4 linked regions of the Xenopus tropicalis genome follow. The protein of the gene in region 4 interacts with the protein of the main gene of each other region in a pairwise test. Links are inferred from orthologs where the notes say so. Each region holds a gene or a part of one and is shown on either strand. Other genes may lie near its edges.

The links.
Region 1: the proteins of gabarapl1 (region 4) and kxd1 interact in binary tests that used the Homo sapiens proteins (3 or more experiments, as listed by UniProt). The two-hybrid records come from large-scale screens. The link is inferred for Xenopus tropicalis from reciprocal best matches to the Homo sapiens genes GABARAPL1 and KXD1.
Region 2: the proteins of gabarapl1 (region 4) and oprk1 interact in binary tests that used the Homo sapiens proteins (3 or more experiments, as listed by UniProt). The link is inferred for Xenopus tropicalis from reciprocal best matches to the Homo sapiens genes GABARAPL1 and OPRK1.
Region 3: the proteins of gabarapl1 (region 4) and retreg3 interact in binary tests that used the Homo sapiens proteins (3 or more experiments, as listed by UniProt). The link is inferred for Xenopus tropicalis from reciprocal best matches to the Homo sapiens genes GABARAPL1 and RETREG3.

What each region holds. Positions count from the first base shown.
Region 1 is NC_030677.2:106,543,642-106,550,623, forward strand, and holds the end of kxd1 (kxDL motif-containing protein 1), read left to right. Parts: coding exon 1-36; intron 37-814; coding exon 815-967; intron 968-1,753; coding exon 1,754-1,800; intron 1,801-3,435; coding exon 3,436-3,668; 3' UTR 3,669-4,627; downstream 4,628-6,982.
Region 2 is NC_030682.2:114,702,584-114,710,515, reverse strand, and holds part of oprk1 (kappa-type opioid receptor), read left to right. Parts: intron 1-4,963; coding exon 4,964-5,316; intron 5,317-7,932. UniProt on the Homo sapiens protein: G-protein coupled opioid receptor that functions as a receptor for endogenous alpha-neoendorphins and dynorphins, but has low affinity for beta-endorphins.
Region 3 is NC_030686.2:29,102,863-29,110,794, forward strand, and holds part of retreg3 (reticulophagy regulator 3), read left to right. Parts: intron 1-4,314; coding exon 4,315-4,421; intron 4,422-5,741; coding exon 5,742-5,772; intron 5,773-6,604; coding exon 6,605-6,731; intron 6,732-7,396; coding exon 7,397-7,481; intron 7,482-7,913; coding exon 7,914-7,932. UniProt on the Homo sapiens protein: Endoplasmic reticulum (ER)-anchored autophagy regulator which exists in an inactive state under basal conditions but is activated following cellular stress.
Region 4 is NC_030683.2:18,808,939-18,816,870, reverse strand, and holds the end of gabarapl1 (gamma-aminobutyric acid receptor-associated protein-like 1), read left to right. Parts: intron 1-3,745; coding exon 3,746-3,824; intron 3,825-3,928; coding exon 3,929-4,047; intron 4,048-4,785; coding exon 4,786-4,851; 3' UTR 4,852-7,149; downstream 7,150-7,932. UniProt on the Homo sapiens protein: Ubiquitin-like modifier that increases cell-surface expression of kappa-type opioid receptor through facilitating anterograde intracellular trafficking of the receptor. Involved in formation of autophagosomal vacuoles.

The sequences.
Region 1 (6,982 bases), on a different chromosome or scaffold from region 4:
GGACGTTAATGCTATCATCCTAGCTCAGAGACACATGTAAGCACATATACTATATCTTTAAAACATACTGCATACCTATATATATATATATATATAAAACAATGTGCTTAAAATCTGCACTCACAGGTCTTATACAAAAAATGTGCTTTGTTAAGAATTGATGGATTTTTAAATCAACACATGTTATGCCCTTCTGTGGTTGTTTTAATGTCTTGGTTTAAACATTTTTGTGATAATTTATTGCAAGATTTGCAATTTATAGTTTTTCTAAACAACTCCATGTTTTCCAACATTCATTCCCTATATTAATTTATTTGTACCTCTAGATAGTCATGTCACACATCTGTTTATTAATATGTGAGATTAGAGCTCACCACAGATAAACCCACTTTCGATTAATTCCCATTGTATTTTTATCAGCATGTTCATCAATAGGTGAATGTTAGAGATTAACTTTTGATAAATACACTTCTAAAATTACCATAGAAATGAATAGAAAGTAGTTGCATTTTTTGGTGATAAGCTCTAATTTCACATTTTGATTAATCTGCCCAATAGTGTTTTGTCTTTTTTTGACTATTCTTAGAATCAGTTGGTCTGATTTACTAATATTGGTGCTAAATTGCACCAGTTTCTAGAAGCACCCAGTGAGCAATTAGTTTAGATCAGTTTTAGTTTAGTTCTCTGCATAGTATTTATTAGGTAAGGCAAATAGTGCCTCTATCATTACAGATATATTTTCATCACACTTCAAAGAAGATGTATATTGCTTCTAGAACTGCATAACTTATTTATTTTGTGATCCTCTTTCCAGGCTTGATCGTTTTGAGAAAACCAATGAAATGTTGCTCAATTTCAATGGTCTCTCAAACACACGATTGCAACAGATGAGTGATAGGTTTGCACATCACACCAGGACACTGGTGGAAATGAAGAAAGACTTGGACATCATCTTTAGAAGAATCAGGTACAAGATTTACATTTTATTCTGCTCCAATGACAAAAATCTGCTCTGATTGCACGTACTGTATTTATGTAAGTGAAAGCTATTAATTATTATTTCATGCAAGTGATAATTAACTAATTTATACATATAGTAGGAGGGAAAAAGGAAAAATGCAGTGCTCCTTTATATGCTAGGGAACTATTGAAAATTAAAATCTACTATAAGCCTTATCTCATGGAAATAAAACAAATTTCTAAATATAAAATTAATTACAAATTCTGTATCATTTCTCAAATAATCAGTTTCTCTACACTATCCCTCACTCTGCAGTTTGTCTCTACATTCAGCTTTGTGTCAGAGTAGGTTATTTTGAAAGACGGTGAGCTCTAATACATTGGCAAATAGAGCACACACCAATGTATTCATTCTAACCATCATACAAAATCTGACTGTCTTTTGCATGATGTGAGACAGTTTACTGAAATGAGAGTAGCTTGATAATTATACAAAATTTTTAACTGATTATATTAATTTAGTTCCTTATTTCCATGAGGTTAAACCACTATTACATTTTTGTGATAATTCCCCTTTAAGTGAAAAACATACTGCTGTTGGAAGGTGCTGGGGCTGTCATAATGTGATCACCTGGGAACCCTACATTTGGTATTCCCTAGAAATCCTATTATAGAGAGCACATCATCTTTACATCATCTACAATTAAAACACAAAGTTGTATCTGAAATATATATTATTGCTATCTAGAAATGATCTGAAGTCATCAGTGTATTTTTGTTCTTATCCATGCAGGATGTTAAAAGGGAAACTAGCAAAGCAATATCCAGAGTCTTTCAACAGTAAGTTCCTTATAATTTGGTCCTATATGACCTACAGTATTTGACTTATAATATTATCAAGCTAAGTACTTAGATATTAAAAATGGTAAAGCAAAAAGAAAACAACTTGTTTGATCTATGTTTTAAATAAAATAAAGGTAACTGGCATGTGAACATATCCTTATGCCTCGCCATCAAGTACTGGGTTTCTTACAGGTGGATCATTTAGAATTCTGTGAGGGTATGCCATGTGGCCTGTTAGTGAGGTCCAATAAATAACCTGTGTGCACTGCAACTTGCACCTAATGTGTTACTACCATTGCAAAAGTTGCATTCATTTTATAAATAGGCAAAAAGTTGTGGCAGTGAATGTGGGCATTGCAAAGCTTGTGATTGGCATGTTATTTGGCTGGCACAAGTGGGAGCTCCTATAGATGCAATATTCAAAGGGTGTCTAAAGAATGTGTAAAGAACAGGGCTCCCTTGTGCCAGAACATACTGTATATTTCTTCTTATTCTGCAAAGCAGGCACAGCTGGTTTTACTGATACATGGTGAAAGTACAGAAGCACAGGTGCATATACACTCACCTAAAGGTTTATTAGGAACTCCTGTTCAATTTCTCATTAATACAATTATCTAATCAACCAATCACATGGCAGTTGCTTCACTGCATTTAGTGTGGTCCTGGTCAAGACAATCTCCTGAACTCCAAACTGAATGTCAGAATGGGAAAGAAAGGTGATTTAAAGGAGAAGGAAAGGCTAAGTCACTTGGGGGTGCCAAAATGTTAGGTACCCCCAAGTGACTTAGAACGCCTACCTTGTACGCCGGGCTGGTGCCCCTGTACGGAGGGAACAGCACCAGCCCGGGGCACCTGTAGACACCGCTTCCTCCTTCCTTTGCGCGCTGCCGGCGAAATCCGCCGGCCGGCGCATGCGCAGTAGAGTGAAAAGCCCACTTTAATGTTTAAGTTCGGCTTTTCACTATACTGCGCATGCGCGCGCAAGCGAGGAGGAAGGAGGAAGCGCCGGCAGCTACCCCGGGCTGGTGCTGTTCCCTCCGTACAGGGGCACCAGCCCGGGGTACAAGGTAGGCGCTCTAAGTCACTTGGGGGTGCCTAACATTTTGGCACCCCCAAGTGACTTAGCCTTTCCTTCTCCTTTAAGCAATTTTGAGCGTGGCATGGTTGTTGGTGCCAGACGGGCCGGTCTGAGTATTTCACTATCTGCTCATTTACTGGGATTTTCACGCACAACCATTTCTAGGGTTTACAAAGAATGGTGTGAAAAGGGAAAAACATCCAGTATGCGGCAGTCCTGTGGGCGAAAATGCCTTGTTGATGCTAGAGGTCAGAGAAGGGTATTAGAATGGTGTTCCTAATAATCCTTTAGGTGAGTGTATAGGTCCAAGCTCTCGGTTTTGAACCTAGCACTGTGCCTTGCTACAGTAAATAAGCTCTTAAATAAGCTTTACAGTATAAAGCTTTAGAGTGCCCATGCTCCTAATTGTCCAGAACTGGGGAGATCTGGCACTGGGTAATGTGCCCAGGCAAGGCAGAAAAGTGATGGTGGTTGGGGGTCACTTTACATTTGCTACTGAATGCATGTTTGTGTGTGTTTGGAAGTTAATTCATAGTTTTGTTAAAATTTCACAGATGTTCATGAATCTCCCATCCTAGAAGATGATGATGATTTTGACCCAACCCCAAGAAGTGCTGCCACAACTATTGCCACATCAGAGCAAAGCACAGAGTCCTGTGACACAAGCCCCTCTATTATTTCACCTGCTATGAGCCAAGACTTTGAGGACTTATCCCAGGCACCTTCTGACACTCCATCTGTCAATGGGCAGATTCTGACAGATGAAGAGGTGGTCCATGAGGATTAACAGACTAGAGGGTGGAAGCAATTTCTAAATTATGGTTGTGTGCTCTTCTTCAACCTCCAGCACAATGCATTGTCATCCTTCTGCCACCAAGGAGTTCTTGTTATGCTGCCTGGAAATAAGCACCCTGCATTGTCTAATTACCCTAAGAAGCAAAACATGGATCAGTGTAGAGGAAAAGGGTGGTTGATACAAGATTTAAGTTTGAGCTAGCTCTTCCCAGGACTCTTAGCTATTGATTTTTGGAAAGTTATTCCTGCACTTTCAGCTTGCTATTGGTACCATTACTGCAGATGCTACCACCCACCTCTCCCTCCATGTGCTTTTTTTGAACACATGCTGGTACTTGAAACTTTTTCTTTCCCTTTTTGGTCAACCATTCTCTTACATTGTTTTTGCTGCTGCACTTTAACTAGCATTTATTCTTAATTTTGTGCCCATTCCATGTTTCTAGCATCAGCTTACCTTTCTTTTAATTCCCTGTGTCTTTTGATCTTTTTGTCTTTTTGCCATATTTGCCATAATTGTATGTAGTTCCTGTACATCTGGTTAAAAAAATACTGCAGGGAATTTTAATTTTTTTTTTCCTGAACAGCACAATCACAAATTTGATCCTTTCCTCATTGATTGCATTTAATGTTTTATAAGCTCAAGCCTTGGGTCACACAGTTTAATGTAGACCGACTTAATGCTTTGTGAGAATACCTGAAAGGAATTTTTTAGAAGCTTGAAAAAGGGAAGAAAAAAATTAAAAGCAAAAGATTTAACTTATCCCAAGAAGGTATCCGCATATCTTTAGAGCACATATCTGTATCTGCTTGAAAAGGAAGTGTTATTTGTTCTTACAAAATCATGGTATTTAGCACTTATTTAATTATTAATTTTTTTTAAGCTTTTTCAGCATCCCTTACAATAAAATTAAATTATTTGTAACAAATATTTGCTGGCTCAGATATAAAAAATGGATAGATATATTTAGCTGCTTCAAGAACTGGCCTTTTTTATATGTATTTTGTCTCACTTTTTCTTCGTTTATTGGGATCACTGGGTTTATGGCACATGCCTTAACATGAAGAGATCTGTGGAATTTAAATCTTTAAAGTGATGATGCCTTTAAAGGAAAAGAAACACTAAAATAGTAAAAAAGCTATTCACTTAGCTAACCACTTAGTATTTTGAATGCTTTAATAGAAAATAACTGCTAAAGGAAGGAGCAGCATCCACTATGCGACGATCGATTGATCGAGCCTAGCCTGACTCCTTCCAATACAGAAGGAAGGCTAGGCTCGATCAATCGATCGTCACATAGTGGATGCTGCTCCTTCCTTCGCCATATCGCCATATTTCAATTGACAGGAAGCCAAGTTTTAGCAGGTATTTTCTATTAAAGCATTCAAAATACTAAGTGGTTTGCAGGATAGGGCAGTTATTGGTGCAGGGTAGAATAGCTTTTTTACTTAAAAAATGTTAGTGTTACTTTTCCTTTAAGGGAGAAGGAAAGTCATTTGGCATTTTACTGCCAATAGATTCGCCACATTAGTGCCACCTAGAATGCTATATTTATTCTGCAAAAAATGTTACCATATATGAGTAAAGAGCCCTAGAAACTTTCTCTGTTTGTTTAAGATTGCAGCCTTCGTTTTAGCTTGGTCTTCCAAGCTTTCTGCTTGCAGCTTTAGCTCTAGCCCTCCGATCACATATTACTAAGGGTGGGGGGAGTGAGTTTTATGAATTCTTATGGGAGGGGGAGCAGGAGAGGAGAGCACTGCACAGACTCCAGCCCAGGGAATGAAGGATTTTTCTGAGAGAGGAAGTCAGATACCCTAAGAACATGTTTACTCAGTGCAGCTTTTCTGTGCATGCTTATGGCTGTATTTACATAGACCTTTCTGATAAAGCTTACTTAGTTTTTACCTTTTCTTCTCCTTTAAAGCTTTGGACAACTGAACATGACATGACATGTTTTTGCTCAAAATGCATGTAATTTATCAAATTAGGGCTCGATATTTTAACCAAATCAATCAGAAGTTTGAATACAAAAATTATGGCTTTGGTGCTTCTCTGACAAATAGTGTGATTTTTATCTCTACCATGTGAGAGACTTTTTATTTTGCATGATGTATAAATGCAGCTTTAAATTTTCTGACAAGTGTAAACTTAATTTAGGTAGCTCATCTGTAAATAATATAATACAGGTATGGAATCCGTGATCCGGAAACCTGTTATCCAGAAAGCTCCGAATTACGGAAAGCCTGTCTCCCATAGACTCCATTTTAATCAAATAGTTCAGATTTTTAAAATGTATTTCCTTTTTCTCTGTAATAATAAAACAGAACATTGTATTTGATCCCAGCTAAGATATAATTAATCCTTATTTGATGCAAATCAGTCCTATTGGGTTTAATTAATGTTTTATTGTTTTTTTTAGTAGACTTAAGGTATGGAGACTCAAATTACAGAAAGACTCCTTATCCGGATTACCCTTGGTCCCGAGCATTCTGGATAATGTGTCCTATACCTGTACCCAGTCTTTTGCAGAATACCAATATATACACTAGTAGTAGGTGGGCATAAAATGATCACCAGTGTACTTGCATGCTATTAGACACCACAAGAGTCAAACTGTCCAGAAGCAAAGGCTTCTGCACATGTGCCAAGCTAAGAAGGAAGACAGCATCTAATTTTAGCTGTGCTTAATGTGAGGCACACAGTGATGTATTTAACAAGCTTTTTAAATATTATTTTGAATCAACATGTTTGAGTGGCGCAAGGGCATACTTTGAGCTGTATTTTTCTAGGCACACTCACCTAGGAAATGCTGTGCCTTCATATTCAATGCCAGCTTGTAACAAGCACAGTATCAGTGTCACAGATACATGAGTACATACTCTTTATTTGGGAGCAACACAAGCATGAAAAAGCTCTGGAGGTGCCAAATAAGAGCCATAATTAGCTATTTGGTAGCCCCTTGCTACCAAGTATGTGAACTGGCAGTGTACAGGAGCCTCTGTTTGGCATTACATTGGGTTTTTATGCATAAAAACTTGCCTCCAAGCCAGAAATTAAAAACTAAGTACCTCATTTGCGGCCACTGGAAACAACATTTAAGCAGTTGGTGAGCAACATGTTGCCTACAATCCACTGGTCAGGGATCGCTGCTCTGTATTCTGTGTCCACAGAATACACATAAAGTAAAATAAATACTGTAGATAGGGCTGCAGTGTTTCACTGGGAAAACATCTACCTACATCAGCATTATACATTGACAACATGGGTGTTAATACTGCAGTGTCATTTTTTTTTTCAATTTTTCTTTA
Region 2 (7,932 bases), on a different chromosome or scaffold from region 4:
GGGCATGTGCTGAACAATTTTTTGTCTATTGTTTTATTAAGAAATATCCATTGTTTGTGTTATTTCTCGCACTTAACAAGAATATGAAGACAGTTTCACTTTAGTACTTCCTATCAGGAGCTGATAAAACTAATTACCAGTCTACCAAAAAGCCCTTGATAATGAACTGTTTTAAGGCTGGAGCTTAGAGAAGGGAGGGGTTTGTTTTATAGGGTGCTCTGAACAAACAGCCCTGTTTATAGAGAAAGTGAGGGGAAGAGTTCAGTGAAAATAGCCCAACTTTCACATTAGTGCTTTATAATGTCATAAAATAGGATAAAATAGTTTTCTTTCAATTAAAACAATAGGCAGAATGCAGTTTATGTATTGTGTTTATAGCAAAGATGTTTGTGTGTATACTGTCCCTTTAAAGGTTTTTATCTAAAATTGTCTCTGGTTGCAGTTAGGGAATAAGCACCTTGCACCTTTTCTAATGTGCCAAAATTGAATAAAAACCTATTTTTCTTTGCAAAACTGAGCATATTTAAAACACTTATCATGTGTAAGCATAATCACTGATACCTTTTTGAATCTCTTTTATTAGCCAAATGGCAGTCATTCCTTGATTGCCCTGGAACCACCCATGCTATTTTTGAATGATGGTGTTTGCAATGTCAATAATCCTTCATATATTCCATCATTTGATGTTTTGGTATCTAAGATTCCCCTTTAGTATCTTCCAGAAGCCTTAGCATTAGTATTGTACAGGTAACTGCCAAAATGAAAGGGACTATAGAGTTTGAATTTTGCAGTGACTGATTGTCATGTATGTACTATCCCCAAAAGGCATTTTCACTGCAATTACAGTGCTCTGGTGCGCTGCGAAACAACATTAGTCTTGCTCCCTGGAGCATCTGTTTTTTCTCAGAATTAGTGCTGACTTTGGGTCATTTAACCCAGTACTAATAGCTGGGATAAGACTGCATAGCTGAGTGCAACCATGTCATCAGTCAGCCATGTAGAAATGTTATTACACAGGAAACAATTGGCATTTGTTTCTAATTTATAATAAACTTTTTTTTTATATGCTTCCATTCATTTTAGTCACACATTATACCATTTTTCCCATTATACAATATTTCTTTCATGCCAAATAAGCTTTATTCATATGGCTTGAAGTTACAAATGCAGATGAGATGATCAATATATCCCATAATTATTCAATAATAGCGAGATCACTGAAGCTAAAAAATCGTATGTCAAAATAGTCACTTTACAAAGCATTAACAGAATCTATCATCGTAACATCATTGCCCTCAAAGTGAAGAACCATTTTCACTTCTTCAAGGTAAAAGTTCAGTTCCTCAGGTCTAATGGGGGGGGGGGCTCCTGTTCTATGTGAAAAAGATTCGCCGCTATCTGTCTACAATCCCCTCTATTGTACTTGTACAGAGTAATCATGTCCCCTCGCCAGCGACAGTCTAACCTCATAGTTTAAATCTTCCATCCCCTTTACCAGTTTAGTTGCAGTCTCTGCACTCTCTCCAGCTCATTAATATCCTTCTTAAGGACTGGGCAAAATTATGTTTTCATCCCTTGAGTCAATCTCTTTTTTATTCAAGATAATAATTTATTCATTTTAGCAGCCACTGTTTGACACTGTCACCTAATATAAGTTGGATATATTTCCATAGTTGCCAAAGGTCCAAAAGATTTTAGTGTATATATTGTAGGCTTTTAAAAATGAAAAATAGTTTAACAATCTTACATCCAGAAACCAATATCCATACTCTTCTCTCATTCTATAAGTCTTGAATAAACAAAGATCCACATTACTTGTATAACTCTCCTGATAAAGAAATTCTGAATGCTGTTCCATCTGACACTGCAGAAATAGAATGAATGTGGTTTGCTCTATTAATGTAGACATACTGATACAGTAGCAAAGACCTCCCTGGAAATTTCCGTTATTGCCATCTATGTAGTGCCAAATGAACAAATGATTAGCTAATCATGTCAGATGATAAAAATGCTGTTCACGCTACTATTTTTCTGTTTTTGCCTGTATCTCACATTGTGTTAGTGACATTGTTACTCTGTTCATGTATCTCTTTCCCTGTCAGTTACAATAAATTACTCTTTTACATGTCAGATGAGCCTACCTTGGACTAAAGAGCAGTACCTGCTAGAAATATTAATCATTTTTGCTTTTATCAGTAATTGGCTTGGAAATGGTGTCTTCATCTTGCAAGGAAAAATAAAGCAGTAATGAAAAAATTAATAATGATGAGTTTAATCATTTTAGAAAATGTTAACAGCACCAAATGATTTATTTTCTAAGAAGTAGTAGAAACCATCAAATTGGTTGTTCTTTATTTTTATTTTTGTTTTTTAAAAAAAATACCACAGCTTTGTGGGGGGTATTTTTTCACAATTTATATTTTTTTGCACAAAATCCTTTTTTCGACAGAAAAAAACTTGATTTATTATGCATCAAAACTGCAACAAATCTGAAAGTAAAAATGAAAAAAAATATCTAAAAGCTGTTGAGGTTATATAAAAGTCAAATCTATCTGACGCAAATCATCTTCTAGCATGCAGGGCTTAAATTATGTATGTACTGTATAGATTGTGTGTATATTTTTATTTCAGTAGTGCTACTTATGTACGCAGTAATGTATAGCAGAACAATAAATTAATAGGACAAACGCGTCATTACAGTAATTAATACAAATAAATACACAGTACAGATACATAAAAGATCCTAAGTGTCAAAGAAACAAGAGGAAGTGCTGCAGAGCTTACAATCTAAGTGGGAGGGTAACAGACACAATAGGAGCATATTAAGTAACAGAATAATAGAATTTTTTGGAGACTGCAGATTTAAATTTTTTTCTTTTAATGTTCACCTATTTATTAAACTACAATATAAATTTAGTTTAAACAAAAATTCTATGCAATTTTGACTTGTCATAATTATAAAGTACTTTGACCAAAATTATTGTTGAAATTTGTTTGCCAGCTCAGGCCAGAACAAAATCTGATTATTTCCAATGGAAGATTGAAGAATACATTTTAGACAAAATGAGAGAAGAAATCCACAATATTGTACTGTTCTCCCTAATATTTTACCCTGTCTTAGTGAACTATATCATGTAATCCTTTTGCAACAAACTGTTCCAGGTACATGGTCTACCAACAGGTCATAGTTGCACATCACTACGAAGCATGGCCAGTAATGAAAGGACTAAAGATGACTGCGAGCAACAGATGCAATTCCCAGATGTTTTTCTATACATTGTAGCAAGAACATAAAACTAGATCTCACATACTGTGTGCTTCCTAGTGACCCATTATTATTAAGACAAATTTAGTATTCTTTTTTCACTATTAGGCATCATTTTAAACTTGTTGGAAGTACTTGACTAGATTGCAGCAAGAACTAAAATATCCAATTAACTGAAACTGATACAGTGTATATAAATATGATGCAACCATGTGGTTGACAATTGTTCATTTCTCAACCCAACTTCCTTACAGTACATAACACTGCTACACCACCATGGACTGTGCGGTCAGTGGCACACTGAGCTTTTCTTTATGCTCTGTGCAAATGATTTGTATGTTTGGGGTTTACTCATCCCCATAAATGAATTATTTCCTAGTTCCTGTTATACTGGCAAACATAAGAGCACTGTAATTAGTTAAGAGAAGGGATTCAATTAATCTTGTGCTTCTGGCAGTGGCACTGCTAATCATATCTACATTTGATTAATAATTATTTCACATGGCCACAATGCAATGTCCATGGTTAAGTTTCTGTCTCTTCTTCCATTTGTACTATTGCTTCTAATACTATCTGCCAGTCTTATTCATGGAATCCCCTATCATGGCATACTGTGTCATTGCACTTACTCCAAAGATGCCCTTGCTTAATTGTATGAAGGTCAGAGTTTGAGTACATAAAATGAATTCACAATGTCTCCCACTGTAACAGAGCATTATCATAGGTTTCATAAATATATTTCCCTTCTCTACTCTCCCCTTTTATTTCTAATCCCCAACATTTATGTGCCACCCTCCATCTGGCAGATCCCCGCCCCCTTACCTTTCTCCCCTACTCTGTTGGAGTGCTCCAGTGCTTAGTCTGCAACTCTGCTTTTCTCACTCTGCCATATATCTATGGAAACTAAGTTTTTGGGTTCCAGTACTTTATCTATGCAGATAAAACCCAGTCCTAAAGTGCTGATCTCCTTATAGTCACAGAACTACTGAATTTGGGTATACACATTCAGATGAAATTGGCAAATGTGGTCTTCTTTTTTGTTTCTTTAACCAAAGTAATTGTAAACCGCTAGTGTGTTTAAATGAATGAATTCCACTTGGTATCCGCACAAGGAAATGCTGTTGTCCACACACTAAAGGAGTTGTTCACCTTTTGAGTTAACTTTTAGTATGATGTAGAGAGTAATATTCTGAGACAGTTTGCAATTGATCTTCATTTTTTATTATTTGTAGATTTTGAATGATTTCAGTGTTTGTTCAGCAACTGGAATATGAATAGGAGAGGCCTCACAGAGCAATGGCTTTCTGGCTGCTGGGGCCAGTGACCCCCATTTGAAAGCTACAAGGAGTTAGAAGAATAATTAGTAAAAAAATAATTTTAAAACGTTAAAAAAAAATAAATAATGAAGACTAATTGAAAAGTTGCTTTGAATTGACCATTCTATAACATACTAACATACTTTTTTTAAGGTAAAACCTTTTGGCTGATTAGATAGATTAGATAGAATTCTAATGTAATATTATAATTTAATAAAAGCATCGTTTGGGGTGTTTACTTAGATTCTATGTTTATATTCGAATGTGTTATTCTAGCAATATAAAGGCCTTTTCTACCAGAAAAGAATTATTGTAAAGGTTTTTCATTTAAATGGAGCAACATACTTTCTTCTTATTATTATATTTTTTTGTATTCCAACAGATATACAAAAATGAAGACTGCCACCAACATTTATATATTTAACCTGGCGCTAGCCGATGCCCTAGTTACCACTACAATGCCCTTTCAAAGCACTTCATTTTTAATGAATTCTTGGCCATTTGGAGATGTCCTCTGTAAAATTGTGGTTTCTATCGACTACTATAATATGTTTACCAGCATATTCACTTTAACCATGATGAGCGTTGATAGATATATTGCTGTTTGCCATCCTGTAAAGGCCCTGGATTTCCGTACACCTCTTAAAGCAAAATGCATCAATATATGTATATGGATGTTATCATCCTCTGTTGGAATATCTGCTATTGTACTTGGAGGGACTAAAATTAGTGATGGTAAGTACACAGATAATAAACTGCAAATTACAGTGATTTTGCTTGCAACGTGTAGCATTTGGGCATCAGATCAGGGTGGAACTGCCACTGCCATAAAGACATCTTAATGTTTTCTCTTTGGGCACCCAGATGAAGTTCAGGATTTAAACAAATTAATTTAGAATCCATTATGTACTTTGTTTTAATTTTATTGTATAGAGAAATATTGCTGTATTAAAGAAAACACTCCCAACAGCATGGGGGCCCAATTTGTGTCCTGATCAGCAGGTTAAGTATCCCTGCTTTAAAACTTCACAATTGATAATCATTATAGTTTATTCAGAGCACTTTATAATGAATTGAAGACAAACAGTAAGGCAGAAACAAATCAAGCACAATAATGCTTTATAAACTGAGATATGAGGTCAGAGGCCCTGTCTGTGAGTATCTATCCCAAAATGCAGTTGGGACAACTCAGCACTCTTATTCAACACTTTAAAAAATAATTAGATGATGCTCAATAGTGCTTAATTGGCCAGTAGATCCACCTAGTCAGTGAAGCACTGGTATTTCCACATTACAAAGGTACACATTTAGCTAGAGGATGCCCTCAAAACTAGAGATGTAGCGAACTGTTCGCCGGTGAACTAATTCGCGCGAACATCGAGTGTTCGCAAATTTGCGAACTTTTGGCGATGTTCGCCATTTTGGGTTCGCCGCGTTTTTTTTGCGCCGCTTTTTTTGCCTCGTTTTTTTCCGCCGTGTTTTTTCGCTTTGGTTTTTCGCCTTTGCGTATACATAGGAATAGCTTGCGGTTTTTTTTTGGCGTTATTTTTTTGCGGTTTTTTTTTGCGGTTTTTTTTGGGCGTTTTTTATCCAAAGTATTTTTCAGAGAAATTGTTGCCCTTGATCCCCCTCCTGCATGCCACTGTCCAGGTCGTGGCACCCTTTAAACAACTTTAAAATCAGTTTTCTGGCCAGAAATGGCTTTTCTAGGTTTTAAAGTTCGCCTTCCCATTGAAGTCTATGGGGTTCGCAAAGTTCGCGAATATTCGCGAGTTTTGGCGAAAGTCCGCGAACGGGTTCGCGAACATTTTTGGCGATGTTCGCTACATCCCTACTCAAAACCATGAGGAAATGAGAGTACTTTGGAGACATGAGGTCCCTTTCCATTTGGAAGGCTACTATTAATAATAAAAAATAACAAAAGTTGTATAAAGGTCATACCTTTATTGGCTAACTAAGATAATCATAGCAAGCTTTCAGAACATTCTAGTTCCCTTTTCAAGCTGATTACAATGAAGCCCTGGGTCTCTCTGATATATATACAACATTCAGCTCATAGATCAAATAACCAGAAAAAAGGAATATCTATGTGTGTGGAAGGTGTTAACAAAGTGATATAAAAGGAGGCCTGCAAGGGACAAACAGATAAGGTACAGAATAATGCGGATTGAAGTGGGTTGATATAAATTAGGGTAAATTACTGAAGTGTGAAGCAAAAGGAATTCCATGTGATTAACTGGTACAGTGTCTCTATAGAAGTTTGTATTTCTGGCTTGGTGCAGGCAGTTCTTAAGGCAGTCTCGGGAAATCGCGGCGCCGCATATGCCATCCCACCGGCGATTTACATTCAAGCCGGTGGGATGGCATATCGGGGATATTAGTCGCCCGCAACAAGGGAGATTTGTCGTGGGCGACTAATCTCCCCGTCTGCCACGGCCCTTAATGTTCTGAAAGCTTTATATGATTATCTTAGTTTGCCGATAAAGGTATCACCTTTATACAGGTATGGGACCCATTATCCAGAATGCTCGGGACCAAGGGTATTCCGGATAAGGGGTCTTTCTGTAATTTGGATCTCAGTACCTTAAGTCTACTAAAAAATCAATAAAACATTAATTAAACCCAATAGGATTGTTTTGCCTCCAATAAGGATTAATTATATCTTAGTTGGGATCAATTAAAAGGTTCTGTTTTATTTCTACATAAAAAGGAAATCAGTTTTAAAATTTTGAATTATTTGATTAAAACGGAGTCTATGGGAGACGGGCATTCCGTAATTCGGAGCTTTCTGGATAACGGGTTTCCGGATAAGGGGTCCGATACCTGTACCACTTTTGTTATTTTTTATTTCGAAAGGGTTACCCTGTAATGTTTTGACAGACTAGCACAGTACATCACCTTTTCCTGAAGGCTACTATAATACACAGTTACTAGAGTTTAAAACATAAACTGAGGAGAAGAGTTTCTCAACCTGCCTCATGGCAGCAGCGCCCCTGGTTAAGGCCCCTTTACAGTACCAGCAAGCCCTGGGCAAAATATTATTGGTGGGCCCCCACTGCCACAAGAAATTTGTAATAGAATAACCCTTAATCATGTGAAGTTCAATATAATAATGCAGGCAGCAAAGAAATGGTCTTGATAAATAGAGGGCAATAAAGGCATTCAGGGCAGCCAGAGTAACGCAGGAGGCAGTACTTGGGCAGTCATTTAAGCAGTTGTTTTGGCAAAGGGAGGAGGTGAACTAAATTTTATTAAACTCCCAATTCATTGACAGGTTATGTTTTATCAGCCAGAGCAAACCCAAAATAAGGAAACAATATCAAAAATAACATTATCTTCATGTTTTCCATA
Region 3 (7,932 bases), on a different chromosome or scaffold from region 4:
TACGCTAAAGCCAAAAGCATCTCGCACCTGCATCTTATTCCAAGTGGTTGTTCCTCCCTTCACTGGGACAACAGCCTTTACCCTCTGCTCCTCAAGGAAGACTTTTCGCTAAGGTGTTAGTACATTGTTGGTTGGATTTCCTTCCATTCAGCCACAAGAGCATTAGTGAGGTTGGGCACTGATGTTGGGGAAAAAAAAATCATGTGGTACATTCCCTGCTAGTTTTAGAAAGAATCAAGCCACATTGGGGGTTGGGTGGGCAGAATATTTTGACAGCTGCTTGACTCTCTTGTCCATTCTCAGTGTAGCTCTTTTCTTTCTATTAGTGGTAGCTGGCAATTTTCACTTACTGAGGTGCTTCTGTCCTGGGAAACGAGTGGGTGCAAAATTAAATGTTAGCCAAAATCTTAAATAAGAAAAATGGTCATTGTTACAAATCATAATTTCTGGTGTACTAGGTGAATAAAGTTGTGCTTAAAAAGGGTTCAGACGCGGCGGCGCGATTTTGCGAGTCTTTTTCGGCGATTTCCCGAAATCGCCCCCCCGCCGCGTCTGCCATCCCGCCGGCGACTTACATGTTCGCCGGTGGGATGGCAGGAGGAAGGCAACTCGGGGAGATTAGTAATCTCCCCGTGTACCAGAGCCCTTAAGGGTGAAGACACACAGAGCTAATAGTAGCAGCTACTTTTTCACGGCTACTAAACGCCAGAAAATACCCTGACAATACTGAGAGTTGCCTCTGCTAAAACACACATAGAGACAATTATCAGTATATGATCAGCATTGTCTATTTTAGTAGCCACAACAAGTAGTTGCTACTAGTAGCTCCATGTGTCTTCACCCTAACTCTCACTGACCTGGAAAGAAAAGATAAAAAAACAAATGTATTATAATATTTCCAGAGAATATTGAGCTACTTTTGAGTGGTGGAAAGCATATTCTCTTCTGAAAGAAACATGATTTTTTGGGTCAAAAAAGAGTGGTCTGTCTCCCTTTTGGATACAAATGGAGGGGTGACATGCAGATAACAGCACAAAAACACTCATTTAAGCATTTTGGCACCAAGATCTGCCCATTAAGCTAGCCATAGTTGATAAGATCTGTCTTGCAAAACAAGTGGATCTCTTCCCACGCACTGGGACAAATCAAGGGATAGTGATCAGATCTTACAACAAGAATATGGAGACCCAACAGACATCAGTGGTCTTTGCCAGGCAGGATTATTATATGGCTTTACTGCTCCATGTGTGTTATTCCATAGTATTAGAAACAGTGACGGGTAGACAAGGGTGTTTTGACTCCTGCTGCTCTCCATCAATATATTTATATAGCTGTACTTATATACACAGAGCTCTACATTTTAACCCTTCTCTGCCAGCAGTCTTTTTTTTTAACATGGCAAGGCATGCATGGATCAGACGGGAAAAGTCTATGTAGTAGACACTTTGGTCTTTATATACGGGCACTGTAGATTTAATGCAACCAGATCACTGGTGAAATTCCATACTGGAAAGCTGTTAAACAAAAAAACTACAAAAACATAAAAAATACAACTAAACAATGAAGACCAAATGCAAATTGTCATGCCTACATCCTACAAAAATGAAAATTTGAAGGAGAAGTACCTCCTTGGTGCCTATATAGAAAAATAAAAATGTGACCCCCTTGTCTGCCACTGGACACTTGCAGCTAAATCCAGCAAAGAATGGGAGGGGTTATCCCTGTATCTCTGCAGCTGGAATACATGCATAGGATGTAAAGTGTATGTGCTAGTCAGGTAGAGGAGGAGGTGGTTGGAGAGATGTGCCTAGGGCAGCACTGGATATACATTTAATGCCAGTAGATCATTCTATAATCCATGAATTTGGTAATTAATCCACTTTAATCTATTCATCAGTGATAAACAGGGAAATATCGAAAAAAAATTTTTTGCTGAGGATAATACTTCCCTTTTACAAAGTACTGGGAAACCTCTAGAATATGCAGTACAGTTTTGGTTTCCAGTGATCAAAGTCCAAAGAAAAACAACTTAAACTACTGCTGAAGAGTAAGGGCTCTGGTACACGGGGAGATTAGTCGCCCGCGGCAAAACTCCCTGCTCGCGGGCGACTAATCTCCCCGAGTTGCCTTCCCCCTGCCATCCCACCGGCGAACATGTAAGTCGCCGGCGGGATGGCAGACGCGGCGGCGCGATTTCGCGCAAATCGCCGAAAAAGACTCGCAAGGCTTTTTCGGCGATTTCCCGAAATCGCCCCGCCGCGTCTGCCATCCCGCCGGCGACTTACATGTTCGCCGGTGGGATGGCAGGGGGAAGGCAACTCAGGGAGATTAGTCGCCCGGGAGCAGGGAGTTTTGCCGCGGGCGACTAATCTCCACGTGTACCAGAGCCCTAAGCGGGGCCTTGTTTGTGAAGAAGGACTGAACAGATTGAAGTCGTTTACATTGGAGGTGTTTAATAGGGATCTAATGTCTATGTAAAACTATATATTGGGAGCAATTCATAAAATCTCTGTTTCACCATTAGATCTTTCCAGAAGACACAAGATTCATAGGATAAGTGTTTTACATATTTAAACCTTTAGCAGGGTTTCTAAATTCCATGTAGTTAATGCATTATGGTTTTCGCTTAAACAAAGAGGCCATTTATTGAGATACAAAGAGTGCAGAGAAGTGGAATTAAAGGGCACCTATCACCCTAGATTTGCTTTTCCCATCAGAGGTGCAGGCTAATAGAACCCGCACTTGGGTTGGGGGGGACAATAGTTTTTTTGTTTTTTTTTTTAAAAATCAGTCCCTGCTGGTGCTAGGCCAGGAGCTCCCGGTGCGAGAGGCCATGTTATTTAGTGCACATGTGCATGATAAGTGAGACACCCTGCTCACTCCTTATGCACAAAGCAGTGGATGCGACTCGCCCACCTGGATCACACGCATGTGCATTATGAGTGAGTTGTGGCACTTCCTTGATATGGGCATGCAAGTGCCACAATATGGCTACCCCAAACCTGGAGCTCCCTCCCAGTGCGGGCAGCCTAACACTGTAAGCGGCTATTTTTTGGTGGGGAAACAGTTTTAGGGCGATGGGTGCCCTTTACGGTTTTAAAGATGTTTGTGATGAATCCCTGTTAGAGATACACATATAAGAGAACTATTCAGTCTGGTACCTTTTTCACAGAGGGCATCTGCTTAGAATAAAATAAAAGAGGTTTTATCTTAAGGTATGAAAAGGGTTTTTTTTAAGCGAGGGCTGAGAATCTGTGAAAAATAAGCAGCTGTACTTGCCAGAAATGTTAAATATTTTAAAGAAAACCCATGAGTTCTTTTTTAATAAGTGAGAAGATACATGGCTACTAGTGTGACTGCTGTGATTGCCAGGTTAGAGTCTGGCAGAAATGCTTTGGATCAACTGAAATGGAGGGGAGGTGAAAGAAATCAAGTAAATGCCCCACAGAGAGAGACTGGGGCTGTATATGTAGTGTATGTATATGTAGTGTATGTATATGTAGTGCTGACACTGTAAGTGATGAGGTGGCAGAGACAGAGGTGATGTGGATACTGTTTCAAGGAGATGAGGTGGCAGTAGGAAACAGTAAACATTCTGTTTCATGGAGGAAACGTGATTGGTAAAAAGCAAAATATATAACTTCATAGTTGGGATAAAGCGGCAGTTGACGCTGAAGTATTTTGCAAAAGTAAGGGGGCACCAGTAGAAGACTTTGCAGAGGGCATTTGATCTTGTGCAAAGGGTTAACTATCATATACATAAGGAGTCATCAACCTTGTATTTCAGACATATATGGTGGGTCTGACAGATCTAAGGTCGCATTGGAAGAACAACTTCTGTTGTAATTTGGGGGATTCAATTCATTTTCTTTCCTTTTTGAACTTAATGCATGTGCCAGTTATGCACTGCCATAACCTTGCCAGAAATATTGCTAAAGAGCTGGGCCTAAAGCAAAGTGATATTCACCGGGGGTGCTAGAGTTTTTGCAACCCCCACTAAATAATAATCTCTAATCTTACAAGGGGTACTATTCCTGCCTTGCAATGCCATCAATGGCCCTTCCGATTCGCTTGGGTGTCCTGAGCATTGCATATGTCCCACAGAGTAAAAATCCGGACTGCAACTTTAAAGTTGAAATTATTATTTTCCTGTGCATGTGTGTTATCGGGACAGTTCAGATCTCTGGGACAACAGGAATAATGTGGGTGCTGCCGGAACAGTGCCCCCAGCTGATGCATTTTTCATTGTGGTGAAAATGTAAAAAGTGCAAAATAATTTGGTTATTCAACTATCTTTTTTTTATTTACTTGCAGGTTTTTTGCCCTGACCTCTCTCAGAATCATATTTTTGGTAGCATTTGGACTAATGATAATCATTTGTGCAGATCAGTGGAAGAACAAACTGTGGCCTGAACTGGGAGGTAAGGAGAATTCTTGATATTATCTTCCCTTGCTGTCACTGAAAACTTGATATACTTCTATCTATACAAGATTCCACGTGTATATATGCAACTCTTCTTTCCTATATGAGCTCTCACATACTCTTTACTGGCCAGGGCAAAACTGAAAGCAGTATTCTGCAAAGCCGTAGTTCTAATTGCAGTCTTCCAGTGAGCTTATCTTCTCACAGCAAAGCCAGCCCTGGGCTATAAAGGCTAAGATATGGATAAGTCCCCATATTTCCTGCATAAGTATCATGCAAATAAACACAGGTCTCTTGTTGGTGCTGCTTAGAAACTTTCTTTCTGATGCTTTCAGCATGATTACATACTTTATCAGAGTTATCTGTTATGAACATGAAACGCTATCGGAGCACACATATTGGTCAGGACTAAATCGAAAGCCATATGATTATGCCATTTAGCTTAACAAACAGGTCTGCTTATAGCAAATCAGCCCCTGGGCAACAAAGAAAAACTAAATACATACAGTTTTTATAATGTCCTTTCACTGGAACCAAGGTTTCCTGAAGTTTGCCACAGTACAATAGTTCTCCAACATCCATGGGGTGGTTATCATGGTTAAACCTTGATATAGACAAGATTTCAGACTTGTCTATACATACCAATTAACAAAGGGGTGACCATTCCTAAAGAATTTGGAAAGTGTTAAGGTGGCCATACACGTGGCGATCCGACGATGTTTCGTACGACCATCGGTCGCACGAAACATCGTAAGATCCGCCACACACCATTCAGGGCTGAATCGGCAGGTAAGGAGGTAGAAACAATAGGATTTCTACCTCCTTTTGCCGATTCAGCTCTGAAGGGAGAATTTTGGTCAGGCGCCTTCTATGGCGCCCGATCAAAATTTTCAAACTTGTCCGATCGGCGAGTCGTCCGATATCGGCAGCTTCCTGCGATATCGGTCGACTCGCCGACATGCCATACACGCACCGATTATCGTACGAAACGAGGTTTCGTACGATAATATCGGTGCGTGTATGGCCACCTTTAGTCTTCTTACAAGGTGAATTGTCTTTTAAGGGGACACGTTTAGTTAAGCCCATGGCATGTAAACATAGGTTAGATCATGAGCAATACTTAATGCAGACCCTTCTAGCAAAACCCCATTAAGGACTTTCACTGGTAAGACTTTTCTTTGTTCCATTGCACCACCTACCTACCAATTCTGCCCCTGTAAAGAGACAGTACAGAATATATAATATACCTGGTGCTTTAAAAGATACAATATTCAAATTAGTTAATTAGTTCTCACTATTTCTGTTTGTGTTTTTTCAGCAGCAAGAGCCAGTGAACTGGAGAATGAAAGGTGAGATAGTTATACCTTACTGCCTTATTGCTTTCTTGGCCATACCAGTTCTTCTAGAACTAGCCACACCTTACCTACCTTAGTTATGAGAAAGTGAGAGTTGTAGTTCTATGCCACCCCTAGCAGATGCTTCTGGGGTCTGACTGAGGTTGATGCCAGACAGCTGAAACATTTATGCTTTTTATGTTCAGCTCCGTTTTGCTTTATCTCTTTTATACTACTACATGCTATATATAATAGTAATATATACATACTATATATAATATGTCACATAGATTTGTGGAGACCTATTATGAGAGAACAGGACATCAGATTAGACTGCATAGACATTTAGAGCGAGAAGACGTGATTTCTTATTGCTTTTGGTGACACCAGGAAGAATTATTACTTATATCCCCAGACAACTAACATATAAATGTGTATATTCAATTATTTACCGTAGCCCTATAATATTAAATTTAAAATTTTCCATTTTTTGTTTGGCTGTTTGATTTGTGCCTGTGGCATTGCACATGCTCCGTGTGCTCTGGTTGTTTGACATTATCAAAAAATTAGCAGAAAAGGAGGTTCAGGGGCATCCAGACATCCACATAATTCACATGCACTGGTTTCTATACTGCCATGTAAATCTGAGCCTTGTACTGTGCATATACTGTATATTGTTCCTAAGATCATGTAACTGACTGCAAGCCAGAACATGTGATCCTTGGGCATAAAGCTGAAAACATAAGATCTAGCATCTCTAGACTATTTCTTTAACTTTTAGGTCTTTTTGTTCTACTTACTACATGTTAAAAGATTTGTTTTCATGATGAGTTTTGGTGTGTTTCAGCTGGGGCTATGTGCATCCAAGGCTGCTCAGCGTCCCAGAGCTGTGCTATCATGCAGCTGATACATGGGTCAGTGTCTACAACTTTTTAAGGAATCTTCTGCTCTTCAAAACTGAAAATCCGGGCAAGGTAATTCAAATTTTGTGTACTATTCTGAACGCCTCAAACTATTTTACCTGGTTTTATATGGACAAATGACCTGTTTCTCTAAGGCTGTTGAAATGGTGATTCCCCCCACCCCACAGGCATCTATCAAAATAATTAAAATATGGTTTCTTGCATCCAAAAGAATTATAGAGTTTTGTAGGCTTTCAAGCCAACCAAACAAGAAGGCCATTGAGGTGGTAGGAAGAATTGGGCTCAGCAATTGGATCACCATAGAGGTATTTGCATCACTGCATCCAGAATCCGATGCAGTCGGTCGTTGCCCAGTGGAATTTTTATAGATATCTGGCAGATTGTCAGTCAGATGTTGTTTAGGAAGGGTGTCATTTTGGCCCATATACACAGACCAGTAATTGTTAGTTTGCAATTTGAAGAGTCGTTATCCATTATAGGCATGTGTGACCTGCTTTTATGGAATGTTGTCCATATCATTCTAATATAGTGGCTGCTTTAGGACTTACACCCAAACACACTACTAGTGTGTGTACTGACTACTATTTGATATAAATAAATAAGGTAGACCAACCAAGAAGAGGTTTGGGCCAAAACTGATGGATGAATGCCTCTTATGTTGCATGTATTTGTCGACTGATGTAAACCTATTGCTTGTTGTGTCTTTTCATATACAGTTTTGCCTTTTGGCCTGCAGCTTTCTGACTTTCCTAGCTGTTCTTGGTGGATACATTCCTGGTGTTGTGCTGTCATATTTGCTTTGTAAGTTGAATATTTTCATTTGTATTAATGGTCATTTGTACCAAAAAGCATATTTACAGTAAGATCTGGCGAACAAGGAGTTCATCCCTACATTATACTAATTACAAACCCTTTACTTGAACATGAACCTTTCAGTAGTTTAGAAAATCCTATTAAAACAGGTAAAACCAAATAACAATATGTACTTCTGCTTTCTGCTCTCGCTTCTGGCTTGACCTACTGTTCAGTCTAGAGGTAGTCCTGACAGAGGTTCATGTTGAATGTGATAAAAATATATTTCACAAGCTTTTTGAATACTGAAATCTCTGTTTTTCAAACATCAGACATATAACAGTAGATAGGTATGCCATCAGTGCCTTACCCTGTTGGGCAAGAAAAAACATTCTTCTCATTATGCTGTTTGCTTTGTTTTTTTTTTTTGCCACCCCACAGTACTTTTTCTTCTGCTTTG
Region 4 (7,932 bases):
GTTCGCAACAGATAGTATTTAACCTTTCTTCAGTTGAACTAACGCCATTACAAATACAGGTGTTAGAACGGGGCTTAAACTTTTGTCCTACATCACAGTTAGATTCTTTTCAGTTACAGGTGGATTTGTATCGTTTTTTTCGAGCATTAAGACTCAAAGTACATTTCACTCATAATATGACATATAATGAAGCTGAAAATACCGAATGTGGTTTTGATATTAGCAAGGTTGGCTTAAGATCACGTAGCCATTTTGTCCCCCCCACAACATATCCGGCAGTAGAAATGTATATTCAAAAAGTTCGGTCTGAGGTTGAGTCTGATATTGAACATAGTGCCCATAAGGGCCCATATAATATGTCTAAAGCTGAAATTGAGACAATAACCGAGCTTAAATCGATGTCCAGCATAACTATCAAACCTTCAGATAAAGGAGGGGCGATAGTTGTTATGGACACGAACAAATATATTGCTGAGATTGAACGTCACTTGGGGGACCTTGGAGTTTATATCCCATTGAAAGGTGATCCAACGGAATCCTTTAAACGGAGCTGGATCACTTATTAAAGCATGCAGTACTATCTAATGTTATTACTATGTCAACGTCACAATATATGTGGATAGACTTTCCCATTATACCTGTAATTTATGTACTTCCTAAAATACATAAGGACCCCATTAATCCACCAGGTAGACCTATAGTGGCTGGGGTGGGCTCACTTACCAGCAATATAGCTGAGGTCCTGGATAAGATACTTAGTCCTTTAGTTCAGAAGACACGCTCATATATAAGAGATACTCATGATTTTTTACAAAAACTATCTAATATAAATGAATTGGCTGATGAAGTATGGCTGGTAACTTTTGATGTTACCAGTCTATATACATCTATACCTCATATTGAAGGGATTATGGCGGTAAAGACACTTCTGATAAAAAGTGGACAATACACTGAAATGGAGATTAATTTTTTTGTGGATATTCTTACCTTTATTTTGTATAAAAATGTCTTTAAATTTCGGGACGGTTTTATCTGCAGATACGGGGGACGGCCATGGGCTCCAAGGTCGCCCCAGCCTATGCCAACTCATTTATGAGTTGGTTTGAGGAGGAACACGTCTATCGTAATGTACTTTTCACTACACATTGTTTTGCGTGGTGGAGGTATATCGATGACGTGTTCCTCCTATGGCGGGGTGACCTGGAGTCCCTGTCCGTCTTCCGTGATCAGATAAATAGGGCCCATCCGGACATTAAATTTACAATGACAGCAGATAGCCACAAAATAGTCTTTTTGGATGTTGAGGTTAGTAGAAGTGAACAAAAATTCCTCACACGAATTTATACAAAACCCACTGATCGGAATCAGTTGTTGAGGTTTGATAGTTTTCATCCTGTATCGGTTAAAAAATCTATTCCCATTAGCCAATTTTCACGGGTCTGCAGAATAGCTAATGACCCAGTTATTGTTAAAGAGGATCTGAACAAAATGGATAAAAAACTAACAAGCAGGGGTTATCCTAAACATGTCCTTCAGGAAGGTTTTTCTAAAGTGAACAGAAATAAAGGGATTAGTCAACCTAATAAAGGCAAAACTACACAACGTATGACGTTTGTTTCTCAATATCATGCGCAAAGTGGTCGGATTCAATCTATCCTTCAGAAACACTGGCATTTGTTAAGGGAATCATATCCTACAACTGAAACATTCCAACAGGCTCCTATGATGTCATATCGTAGGGGCCATACAATAGGTGGTAAATTAATAAGGGCGGAGGTTTCCCCTGTACCGAGAAAATTTACTTTCTTAGGTCCACCTAGAGAAGGTATGTACAAATGTAAAGGTTGCACCCAATGCCGTTTTGTTTTGGTGGGGCCACGATTTACTGACCCCCATACAGGGAGATCATATAAAATACGGGGACATCATACATGTGACACCAATTTTGTGGTATATATGCTTGTCTGTCCATGTAATTTAATTTATATTGGAGAGACTATTCAGAAAGTTAAGGACAGGTTTTCACAACATAGATCGACAGTGAATACTGGTAATAGAATTCTCCCAGTATCTAGACATTGTTTAGAACTGGGACATACAGCTGATGATCTTAGATATCGGGTAATACAACATGTCCCTGCCCCTGGAAGGGGTGGAGACCGTGTTAAAATCCTCAAGAAAACTGAGGTAGAATGGATTCATCGTTTAAATTCTTTAGCTCCATATGGGTTAAATAGGGATTTTGATTTACATCTATTTTTGTAGAATAACCTATTTCTGTACAGTTATTCTTTATTTTTGCCTTAAAAATGCTCTATTTTTGTTTTCATTTATATAATTAATGTTTATGCTGAATAACTAGGACTGTTGTGACTTTAGGTCCCGTTTTTGACATGACTATAATGTGCCAAGTACTGTTTCAACATTATTAGTGATGAGCGAATCTGTTCCGTTTCGCTTCGCCGAAAAATTCGCGAATCTTTGAAAAGATCCGCGAAACGGCGAAAAATTCACGAAACGGCGAAAATGTCGTGCGACAAAAAAAATTGTCGCCCGCGGCTATTATTTTGTCGCGCGGCTATTGTTTCGTCGCGCGCGGCTCTTGTTTCGTCGCGCGGCTCTTGTTTCGTCGCGCGGCTCTTGTTTCGTCGCCCGCGGCTCTTGTTTCGTCGCCCGCGGCTCTTGTTTCGTCGCGCGGCTCTTGTTTCGTCGCCCGCGGCTCTTGTTTCGTCGCGCGGCTCTTGTTTCGTCGCCCGCAGCTATTATTTTGTCGCACGGCTATTGTTTCGTCGCGCGCAGCTCTTGTTTCGTCGCGCGGCTCTTGTTTCGTCGCGCGCTATTGTTTCGTCGCCCGCGGCTATTATTTTGTCGCCCGCGACTATTCTTTTTTGACGCCGGCGACAATTTTTGGACGTGCGGCGAATTTTTCCGCGGCGAAATTTTTCATCCGTTTCGCGAAACAATCCGCCAATGGCGAAACGCAGAAATTCGCCGCGAATCCATGCCTGGCGAAACTTTTCGCCCATCACTAAACATTATGTTTGTATAGGTGCCTTTATATAATATACTAATAGCTCCTTACTAACATATACTGAATTGATGTGCCGGCTTCTGTGTATACTGATTACGCTGACAGTGTGATCCGTTTCCACGGTGACCCGCTACGTCACTTCCGGTTTTCGGTTATACAAGGAAGTAACAAGTTATGTGGATTACTGACTGTGCTTAGCCACGAGGTGCGCTTGAGAAAGGGGGTGAGATGCCCCCGAAACGTCGCGCGGATGTGGCATAATGGACTGATAAGTATAGTTGTTATACTACCTTGAACGATTAGTGTATTCGTTTTTTTTTAAGAAAGTGCTTGAATAAAAGCTATGTTTTACAAGTTTGGAGTGCGGCTCAGTTGGAAGATATATATATATATATATAAATGATAGAAAAACATATAGTGCTGAAATATATATATATATATATATCAGGAGTTGTTCAAGCTTTATTGTAATACATTTTATGTACTGCAAGAGATGCATGACTGATAGCCCTCCAACTGTGACTGCGGTAGCTTGTATGTTAGCCAAAGACTGCCCAGACGGCTGTGAGTTGTAGTTCAGCAGTAACTGGAGGGTCACTGCTTAAACATCCGTGATTCGGGTTTTTAACCACCAACCATCAGGGTCCCCCAGCCTTCTTGCATTGGCCGGGCCACACATCTGCATCTTACCATTGTTATTATCTGTCATTTTAGGTTATTGTAGAAAAGGCGCCTAAGGCCAGAGTCCCAGACCTGGACAAGAGGAAATACCTGGTTCCCTCGGATCTAACAGGTACGGCCCCTGAAAATCCAGCCCAATTTATCTCACATTAGTATTTGTTTCTAATCTGCACTTTTGTGATATTTTTATTTTTTCTGTACCTTTCGTCTTTGCAGTTGGGCAATTTTACTTCCTCATCAGGAAGAGAATTCACCTTCGCCCAGAGGATGCCCTCTTCTTCTTCGTCAACAATACCATTCCTCCCACCAGTGCAACCATGGGACAGCTTTATGAGGTGGGGCCCTTAGCAAAGAGTAAAAGTCAGTCTCGAAAACATCTCTTCCACCAGTTCCGTGCCATTTTATAGCCATATACAAAAGGAAAACTTTCCATCTTCTGCAAAATCATAATAAAGTCCATGTGATGCCTTATAATTGCCCATGTGATAGCACATTATTACCCTTATGATGTCATATCATTATCCATATGATGTCATATCATTCCTCATGTGCTATCACATTATTGTCCAGGGGATATCATATTATTGGCCATGTGACCTCGTATCATTCCCCATGTGACGCCATTTAATTATCCATGTGATGTCATACCATTGCCCATACCGGATAATTTCTAAAATTTCCATAGGTGGTCAATATTAGACATTTTGACGCTGTATTTTAAGTTCTGTCTGTTTTTGCAATGGAGGAATATATCATATTTTTACCCATGTGATGTCATATCATTACACATATGATGTCTTTGCCCTTAAGATGTCATATTTCCCATATGATGTTATGTCATTGTCCCTATGATGTCATAATATTGCACATGTGACATAATATCATTCCCCATGTGACATTGTGTAATTGCCTATGTCATATGATTGACCATGTGACATTATACCATTGCCCATACTGGATAATTTATAAGATTCCCATAGTCGACCAATATTAGACATTTTGACACTACATTTAAGTTTTATCTGTTTTTTCAATGGACGAATGACCTGACAGTCTGGTTTGTTGCCTTGCAGGATAACCACGAGGAGGACTACTTCCTGTACGTGGCCTACAGTGATGAGAGTGTGTATGGAAAGTGATGGCTCAGATGGCACAACCCACCAAACCCAACACCATCACCTCCCATGACCAACCATTTCACAGAATACCCAACCTCTAGGACTGCACAGCACATGGAACCTACCAGCTCTGGATCTTGATGTCTGTGGAAGGTGTAAGGGGAGTGGGTGGGAGTAGACTTGCCAACCTCAGTGGATGGATAGCTCAAGATAAGAAGACATGCCCGTCAGCTAACATGCCTGATTGACTGGTGGCCTTGATTGTGATACTTAGCTTTGAGCCTCCAACACGCTTGGGCTCGGCACTAAATAAAAACCCGTAGGGCCATGTGGTTCCACCGTGCTGAGCTGGCCACCTTTAGGCTTGGGCTGAGCCATCCCTTTATAGTGCAACACAAACATTCCCGTTAGCGCACACCCCACCATGTTTCCTATTGGTCCAGACCAAGTCTTGTCTTTTCTCACCAGGTTCCCTCCCGTATGTGGCAAAGCAACAGTCCATATTATTGTAAATAATGAATGTTTAACCTGCGTCAGAGCTGTGATGGTGGAACACAATTACAATTCACAGTCTTTTTCCATTTATGCTCTTTTACTTTTTTATTGGATTAGAAAACATGGTCAGTGCCCCTAGGGAGGGCTATTGCTTAAGCATTCCTACAGCTACAGCCATTTCTCATCTCCATAGAAATACCAGTTTACTGATTATTTCTTATTCCATTCACTATAAATAAATATAATAATAGGTGTCAGGTTAGCTTCGGTTCCACTAACCCCCTGCAACCAATCAGCAAGCCATTGCCATTGCAATTACCAAACAGCTGATTGGTTGCTATGGGTTACCAGTCCTTGAGCAAACTTTGCACAGGTTATTACATGCCCCCTCCCCCCTTTTTGCACATGAAATGCACATTAAGTAAATTATAAGCCAAATTACTATGTTTTTGAACCAAAACAATGATGACATTTCTGTATGAAAGTGTTTGCGTGTGCATGGCCTCAAAGAGTGGTTAAGTAGGGGGTTATTATATCCAAGATGGATGAACCTCCTGTCTAGATCAGTGCATTTGGCAGCAATCTAAATCACAGGTGCCCACCTATAGTTCATTTATTTTTGGACTACCACTCCCAGCAGCCATTGCAGGCCAATGCAGTTGTATGAATATATGAAAGGCTGCAGGTTGCCTATCAATAGATTATATATCTAATAAGAGGGGTTGCACATATATCTATAGACACACATTACTCACAACCCAGCAATCCATTCCGAAACATCAACAATTCATACATTCACAAGCAATTTTATACAATATAAAAGCCTGATACTGGTGAAACCTGGGATGTGTTCTCTCGTTAGAATGAAGATATAGTACTGTAACACGACCTCGCTTTGTGTCCTGAAATTAACTTGGATAAAACATAATATGTTTTAGTTGTATAATTGTTGCACCGGGCCTGTCTTGTTAGGGAAGTGATACTGGAGTTAAACATATTAAAGAGATTAAAGGGGAAGTTCAATAATGAAAAGGACAAGTAAAAGTCTACCATAATGCACAATTTGGCCTTCAAACTGCCCTGTTGTTGCTATGGTCCCTGATCCCAGAAACCGGGCAGTGGGGTAGGAAAAAGACTGGAAAAGAAATAGGAGAAGAACCAACCTTAGCAACCAGATAGCAGCTGGAATTTCAGCCAGGAGATAAGGAAAACAATTTGAGGCAGAGTAGTATAGGGTATTTACTTCTATAATGGATTTAATATGAACTTCCCCATGTGGAATTGGAAGTGCACATTTCTGAAATGTATTTAAGGTGTTTATATAATATTTGTGTGGATGGTGTGCAGAAATCTGGGTGCAATACTGCAGGTGTCCTCTGGGTGTCAGTGCAGTGCAAAAGGCAATTTTTTTTCCCTGTTAAATAATACTGACTGTGCAAGTCCCAGCACTTGTATAATTGCTGGGCTGAGGGCTGTAGATTGATTTTGTTGCAGTGTAATACAAACTGTCACATCGGTAGAGACCTTGTGATGTGCAACTCCCAGGACCCCACTCATTTGTAGGGTGCTGGGAGTTCTATCTCACAGCATCTCAAGGGCTGCAATGTAACATATGAAGGAAACTTTTTAATGTTATAATAAATGTTAGTTTTGCTTAATAGATCGAGTGACTAAAGTCTTTATCAATAGTAACAGCGAATAGAGCTAAAACATCTGAATTAAAGGAGTACACATCCGCCCTGTGCGCTCATCTGCAACCATTCCTTTTAGATAACACTACAGAGCTGCTATTGTCTTTGTTAAATAAATCTGTTTTCCATGCAACCATATTGTTTTTTCCTCTTTGGCCTCCTAATAGAATTTCCATTTCTTAAAGTATATGTTATATATGGGCAACCCTACTGGATATGTAATAATATTTTTCTGGTGCAGTAACCATAGCATGCAAGCAGCAGTGAGCTCTAGTACAGTGCTGGAAGCTAAGGTTTGTCTGATTCAGGGTACTATAGTGGCATATATTCTACCCATGTAAAGCTGGCCATACATGTGCCTTGTGACAAATTAAGCAGAGGTCCACTGATTGGGAAACCTACCAAACAAGCAGATCTGGGGTCTAAATCGGCCACCTGGGGCCACTGGAGACTGTGGCCCTCCTGTTCCACCGCACAAACCCCAGCCAATACCTCCCCCTTAATTTATAGTGCAACAGGCTGAAAGGACTAGTGACAGGACAAGGTGGTTGTTGCCCCACAGAAATTTGAAACCTGCCCGATAAATATCTGTCAGAAAGTTATTGGCCAGACAGACAGTCATAAGCACCTGATACATGGGCCAATAACCTGCTGACATCCATTAGAGGGGGTAAGCTAGCAATCTTTATCAGTAGTGATAAGCGAATGTGCCCTGTTTCGCTACGCCATAAAATTTGCGAACTGGCAAGAAAATTTGCGAAACGGCGAAAAATTTGCGAAACGCATTTTTGTCTATTTTCTGTCGTCCGCACTTTTTTTGACGTGACCGCGCCCAATGTGATGCGACTGCGCCCTTTTTTTTACGTGACCGCACCTGAATTGACTTAGCCACGCCCGAATTCACGTGGCCACGCCC